2 linked regions of the Schizosaccharomyces pombe genome follow. Changing the gene in region 2 together with the main gene of any one other region gives a genetic interaction. Each region holds a gene or a part of one and is shown on either strand. Other genes may lie near its edges.

What was found. A genetic interaction does not mean that the proteins touch.
Region 1: mutations in rga6 (region 2) and dus3 together harm fitness more than expected from each alone (negative genetic interaction), as found in Schizosaccharomyces pombe (one large-scale study listed by BioGRID).

The regions. Positions count from the first base shown.
Region 1 is NC_003424.3:4,427,805-4,431,560, forward strand, and holds the start of dus3 (tRNA dihydrouridine synthase Dus3), read left to right. Parts: upstream 1-1,831; 5' UTR 1,832-1,879; coding exon 1,880-1,920; exon of another isoform or gene 1,921-1,968; coding exon 1,969-3,756. Other genes in the region: dihydroorotase Ura2, read right to left, coding at 1-807, 885-1,001. UniProt on the Schizosaccharomyces pombe protein: Catalyzes the synthesis of dihydrouridine, a modified base, in various RNAs, such as tRNAs and mRNAs. Modifies the uridine in position 47 (U47) in the D-loop of tRNAs. Also able to mediate formation of dihydrouridine outside of the D-loop of tRNAs.
Region 2 is NC_003423.3:579,414-583,169, reverse strand, and holds the start of rga6 (Rho-type GTPase-activating protein Rga6), read right to left. Parts: upstream 2,026-3,756; 5' UTR 1,924-2,025; coding exon 1-1,923. Other genes in the region: glyceraldehyde 3-phosphate dehydrogenase Gpd3, read right to left, coding at 3,432-3,756.

The DNA.
Region 1 (3,756 bases), on a different chromosome or scaffold from region 2:
CTTTTTTAAGACGATATTAGACTCTTTGAAGTCTAAAGGAATACAATAAAATTTCCTACCAAAAATACATGCAAAATCCTTCAAAGCATCTAAACGACCCTCTTTATCAAACACTTCAGCTAAGTACGAAGCAGCGAAAGGTTGGGTAAAAACACCAGCTGCCGGTGGCGTCTTCAGTTTAGAAGACCTAGGATGAGGTGCAGAATCACTCCCAAAGAAAAACTTGGGATTTTTACTGGTAGCAGCTTCAATAAGAGCACGTCGGTCTCGTTCGGTTTTGGCTACCGGCTTGCAGAAACAATAAGGATCATCCTGCCAATCTTTTTGTGTGAGATAAAGATGATGGGCAGTTATAGTACCCGCAACACTTTCACCGCATGCTTTTACTGCCTCAACAGCGTCGGCAGTGGTGCAATGTTCAAGCACAATCTTGAGTTTTGGAAATCTTTGGTGAAGGTCTAGTAAAGTAGGAAGAAACTTGGGCTCAGCCGTAAAAACGGTGTTATCCTTAGAGGGGGGAACTTCTCCGTGAATGTTCAGAATCATACCTGTTTCTTGCATTGCAGCAAAGGTAGGATAAAAGGGTTCGTAGCTTTCAACACCACTTTCAGAATTGGTAGTAGCTCCTTTCGGATATGATTTAACTCCTCGAATTCCCTTTTTTGCAGCTTCGTAAATAACCTCAGGTGTAGTTTCCGGTGAGAGATAAAGACTCATTAAATAGGTGGTCTTGGAGTCAAGCTGCTCAATTTCTTTTTTATATTGCAAACAGGCATCAACGGTAGTAATTGGGGGGATTAAATTAGGCTGTTATACGCGTTAAAAAGTTAAACCTTTGTAACCTTCAAATAAATTTTTTGAATAGCACAATACTTATTACATACCATTACATACGCAACAGAGACTCCACCCTCTGCGACCGTTGGAACTACAGCTTTTAACATATTATCTTGCCTTAGATGAACATGCATATCAGCCAAACCAGGTATTTTCAAACTCATCTTGTATAGGTAGTGGGTATTGTCAAGTTGAGTAACTAGAAAGGTGCACTTTATACTTAGTGCTAAATTAAACCAAGAATAAACAATCTTAACAATTGGTAAAAAAATACTACTTAAAATTAGTATGTTTCTTTCAATATAAATTAGTGAGGGTAATATAATTACTTCAAAAAAATTTACTATACCGATAATTCTCCAACTAATTTCAAAGATTTAATTGATCGGAGTTAAACCAAATATTATTTCTTAATTCTTTTTATTAAAGTTCAGATGCCTAATTCTAAACATAAGAATTCACCAACAGCTTAATTATTAGACCACCGTCCTGACTCTTCGGAAGCATAGAGCTACTTGCTTAATCATTGAAGCTCCATTATTAGATCTACCTTAGTATAAAAGAAATCCGAAACGTGTAACTACTAGCATTTCCTGTTTATGTGTAAATATACAGGTACATAATATGAAGAATTATGGTCATCAGTACAAAGCAGTTTAAATTTAACTTAGTAATATCTTGGCATCTGAAGAATATACAACTCAATGAATAGCAGCATCTCAAAAGTGTGCATTCTAAACGTCTTTAAGATTTATACATTTCTAATTTCAATAGACAGTTACAGCCATTGTTACGTTTTACAAAACATAACTGTGTACCTAAAAGCATATAGCGTTAATATTACTATGCAGTTTTAGAGTTTTTTTTTATCTATTAGGCAATATGATTGCTTTTCGAATCTATCATGTAAACCGTTAATTTTGAATATTGCACTGCTACGTCGTATCTTATTTTCACAGACGCGCACAGAATCTAGAGAAAATATGCAGTTTGCATAAAGCAAACTACTAAATTCAAGGGAAATCGGATTTTTGGGTACTTAATGGCAGAATTGGAGACTGGAGCGGTTCCTATTCGGGAAGAGTATGCTTGAACCTCGCTTTCAATAGTCAATTACTAACTATACCTTAGATTTTTGGTGAAACAAGATGGAAATAAAAAACGAAAGCGTAAAGAGAGGGGTCAAAATAAACGGAGAGAAAAAATTCACGTAAAAGAGAACAACGCTCTTTGTCCAGCTATATCTATTGGGAATGAGTGTCCATATAAAGAAAACTGCAAATTCCCACACGATGTGGAGGCTTACCTTGCTACCAAGGCACCTGACATTGGAGACAAATGCCCTATATTCGAGCGGTATGGAGTATGCCCAGCTGGTTTCAAATGTCGCTGGCTAGCGGGCCATGTTGTTATCAATGCAGACGGAAAGTACGAGCTTATAAAAAAACCCGATGGGCAGTTTACGCTTTTTACCGTAAATACTGTTGGAAAAGAGGTACAGAGAAAGCTAAGAACAAAACAGTTAGATCTATCAAAGGCTGAAAGTATTATATCCGCAGTTTTAGGTGAAGAAAAGCCCGACCCTTCTTCAAAAGTATCCAATATTCCTGAGGAAAATAGAGATGCCACTAGTGCTATTTCCGAAGGAAAAGAGACAGAATCTGTTTCACTGGAAGAAACTGGGGTGTTAAAAAATCAAACCGTCTCGGTCAATGTCGATTTAAAAGAAATCTCTTCACAAGCTCGGTCAAACATCGCTTTACCTACTTTACGGCCTCAAGAAAAAAATCTCATTGACTGGCGAGACAGAAAGATTCTAGCTCCTCTTACCACCGTTGGAAATCCACCTTTTCGTCGTCTTTGTGGCTCTCTGGGTGCTGATACGTTTTACTCCGAAATGGCGATGTGTTATCCACTTATGCAAGGTCATCAACCTGAGTGGGCTCTTGTTCGTGGGCTAAACTATGAGCGTGAAATGATGCGAGGTGGTCGTCGTGGTATATTAGGGGTCCAACTAGCTACCGGAAAACTTTGGCAGGCCACTAAAACTGCACAAGTAATAGCTGAACAATGTGATGGCGTTGATTTTCTCGATTTAAATTGCGGTTGCCCTATAGATTTGGTATTTCGTCAAGGCGCCGGTTCTTCTCTTCTCGAGAATCCTGGCAGGTTACTTCGTAATCTCCAAGGTATGGATGCGGTATCTGGCCAAATTCCTGTCACCGTAAAACTTCGTATGGGAAACAAAGACGACCACCCAGTTGTCAAAAATTTAATTGGTAGAATTTTCAACGAAACAAACACTTCAGCTGCTACATTACATGGAAGATCTCGCCAACAGCGATATAGTAAAAACGCAAATTGGGATTATATTGGTGAAATTGCTTCTAAAGTAAAAAGTATGAATGAGAGAATAGATGAACTTCCTGAGGACTCCTTGCGTACCCAACCTCTTTCGCTGATTGGAAATGGAGACTGTTATTCATGGCAGGATTGGTATGATGGTGTTAACAAGGGTGTTGATACTGTGATGATTGCCCGAGGTGCACTCGTTAAGCCATGGATTTTTGAAGAAATTGAAGCTCGTCAGTTTATTGATAAGTCATCAACTCAACGACTCGAAATGTTGGAACAATACTGTAATAATGGTTTAGAGTATTGGGGTTCTGACTCTCAAGGAGTCAATACGACTAGGAGATTTTTCTTGGAGTTTATGAGCTTTTTCCATCGTTATACACCTATAGCTTTGTACGAAGTTCAAAGGCCCAGATTAAATGATAGACCGCCTCTATATACCGCGAGAGATGAGATGGAAACTCTCTTGGCCAGTAATAAAGTTACGGACTGGGTTAAATTGAGTGAGTTCTTCCTAGGTCCTACTCCTGAGCGATTCACCTTTACACCAAAGCACAAAAGCAA
Region 2 (3,756 bases):
AATCTTAGGCTGGGGCTGTTGATTGTCAACAACGACTTTGGTACTCTCATTTGCTACAGCATCATCATTTTCTTGGTTACCCGATTCATTATCGGAAGAGTCATTGATTAAAGGAAGCTTCGAGATATGCTTAACATTAGGATAACTTTCCTCAGATGCATTCACATTTTCAGGTATCTGTTCTGGAGAATCTTCTTTCGGGACTGCAGGAGTAAAAATAGCAACTTGGTCAGTTAACCCAACATCAGAAAAACAATTGGGTATGTCGAGAGAATTGATTTTAAGTAGTACCTCTGGCCAGTGAATAATCAGTCCCTCTACAATCTTGGCTTCAACTCTAGCCTTTTCGGTTTCAAATCTCATAAGGTCATTCACATTTCCAGAAGGACAAGATTTCGAAAGATCAGTAGAAGAGTTACCCAACAATAAAGGACCAAAAATAATACCAAGGGCTTCCGGCTTCATCAAAGTAGAGTCTTTGGTATTTTCCATTCCATTTTCCAACTCTTGAGTCCGTGTAGCTATTTGATGCAATAATGCTAGTAGAGAGCAAAGGATAGAAAAGCGCACGTAAGAATCTATTTGTGAAAAGCAAAGAGCGGCCATTTCATTCCGGATGTCTATAGGAACCTTTACTCTACTTGAATCAACGTATAATGGTACTAAAAGATTCAATATATCTTTATGCGTAAAAAGGCCACCTGGCAATAACATAATGTACCGTTTTAAGACAGCTGCTATATCGATATAACTTGGAAATCCAATACGCTTAAAAATTTCTGATGTTTCATCAAGCCAAAAATGAGGTGGAGAATAAAAGTATTCTGTGATTGCTTTTATTACGGGACCAGAACCACTAATGCGGAAAATTCCCGGTACATGCAAAGCATTTAAAGATAGAAAATGTACGCATTGAGCAAAAATATGTGGGAGCAACAAAGAAGGAGGTGCACATTCAGGAGTGGGAAATGTAAATTTGCAAAGATTTGTGGGATCTGACGTTAAATCGCCGATAGGTTTACCAAATACGGAAGGATTATGAGCAATTGCATTATGTTGATGTGCATTACGATGAGGAAATTTAAAATAATTCGTTAAAGAACGACGATGCAAGCCAGTGGACTGACGTTTTGGAGAGTAAGTAAGAGAGGGGCGGCGGAGGATAGAGGACCAAGATCCCTTGGAAGGGCTTCGCTTTGGAGAATCTTGAGAGGCATTGAACTGTCTTTGAGAGCCAAATGAAGATGGTGGGTATTGGAGAGGTTCCAACGTATCTGATGAGGATAGTTGATTCGTAGCCGACAAGGAGGGAGAATCTTGTGAAGTTTGTAACTCGTGTGAAAGGGAGCTTAGATTTAGGGATGACCTCCCTAGAGGACCATTGTTTGAAGGTTTATCAAACCGAACTTCTGATACTGCGCTTTCTTGAAGGTAAAAGCTAACATGTTCTAGGGAGGACGGAGTATCTCTCTCTTCCAATAGTGTCGAGTGTATCAGCTTAGTAGGGGATCCACATGGAGTGAAATATTTATCAGTATGAGCATCTGGAGGTGAAGAACTTTTGGATTCATTAAATACGCTATCGTCGGAGTACAGAGATTGTTTAACCTCTTTTATCTGGGAAACGTACTCCTCGAGATTAATTTCGTGTATGTTGTAAGTCTGAGCTAGCTCACGAAAGCGTGACAAGCACGAATTTTGCTTAGTAAAGAAAGGAGCTTGCTGTCCCTCCAAATTGCTTGCAGATGATGAAATTGATGTGGAAAGGCCATTTTCCACTTTCGCTAACGATCCTCCCACCTCTAGCGACGGTTCTTCGAAACGTTTCTCATCGGTCTGCGCATTGCTAGACAAGACGACATCCTTGTGCTCTTTCAGGTCCCCAAGAGTTCCATTGTTGAGAGTCGAAGGATTTAAGGTCATACTTCTCCCAACAATTTCAAATTTTACTACACGAGGTTTTCGAGGCCCGTAAAAGCTATAAACCTCAATATATACTCTCCACTGATAGAATTTTGAAATAAATGTCGATTAGAGAGACGTTGGCTTTGGTAAGAACCGTTCTACATCCGTTACTTACTAAGAGGTTCAGCCAAGTAGCAGGCGTTGAAAAGTAGAGTACGAGCCGAAGCGAAAGATAGGTGAACAAGTAGTCACATATTGAACGAACCAAAAACTCATCTTCTACACGGACTATTGTAATTTAAGGAAAGACAGCAGCTTTCAAACTCCCATGGTGCAGTTACTAATGGAAGTATTCCACTGAGAAATCTGAGAAGCAATCTTATTATTAGTTCGTAAGGAATTCAAATGTTTGGCACCAAAGCAGATATTGTTACTATATGAATTGATAATTTAAATAACAATCTCATGCTTAAACACACTTTCAAGCTATTGGAACATGAGACACAAGTATAAACAGTTCCATAGATGAGCCTCGCAATCGAGCGATTGTTTCTCGCTTAGATATAACTGTATTTTTTATGAGGGTACATGTGACTAGCAATGCGGTATCAAAAAACCAAAGGACAAAATACAAAAAACAGGATTAGCTGTTATCCAGAAAAGAATCAAATGCAAGCATGAAATTTTTTGAATAATTTTCTGAAGCACAAACAGCTCTAAGTATCAAACATTAAGAGTTGCGAGAACCGCCTAAATGGAACACTCGCTTTCATCATCATACTTGATGGTCTGAGATTGATCTGGAAAGTGGAGTGAACGAACACTAAGAATGAAAATGCTAAATTTAAATTGCTATCTATTAATATATAATTTTTCTTATCGTTTGACTTACACTTCCATTCTAGAAACTTGCAAATAGGGGCAGTAAAGATAGGCAGCAGAGGCCCTCAAAAGGACTGAAAAATTATTTACTTCACCCAAAAAAGCGTGGGCCAAGTTTATGGAAACATCTTAGCGAATATCTATCATCAAGACGAAAACAATTATCTCAAATGCAAACGGTAATAGAATGCTAACAAGCAACTATGATAACTATATAATGCTTTATAAATCAGTCTACCTTTTTTACCTCCAATAAACTACCACATTTCAAATCAAAATTTTCATACACCACATACTTTACGGATTTTTTACACATTAAAAACAAGTGAAGAAAAAACAATTCATTTAAAATTATATCTTAATCTATTTCGTAGAAAGGTCGTCAGCTATAGAGATCGCCCTAGGAGCGCAATCAAAATGATAACGTGGAATAAAAGAGGAAAATCTCATACATGTCTATCATTATCGTAGCAAACCCCAGAAAAGGAAAAGGGGGAAAACAAGCATAAGAATAAAAAACCAAAAGTTCGCACATATGTAAGACCCCCCAAAACCGAACGCATGTTCAGTTGAATAGCTTGGAGTTTAACAACGGCTGATTAGAGAGATATAGATTGACGACGGAATAAATCGAAAGAAGCAATCTAATCCTTGGAAGCAGTGTAGGCAACCAAGTCAACAACACGGTGGGAGTAACCCCATTCGTTATCGTACCAAGAGACGAGCTTGACGAATTGAGGAGAAAGTTGGATACCGGCAGAGGCATCGAAGATGGAGGAGTGGTTGTCACCACAGAAGTCGGTGGAGACAACAGAGTCCTCGGTGTAACCCAACACACCCTTCATGGGACCCTCAGAGGCAGCCTTGATAGCAGCCTTGATGTCCTCGTAGTTGGTAGGCTTGGCCAACTTGACGGTCAAGTCAACAACGGAAACATCGGGGGTAGGGACACGGAAAGCCATACCGGTA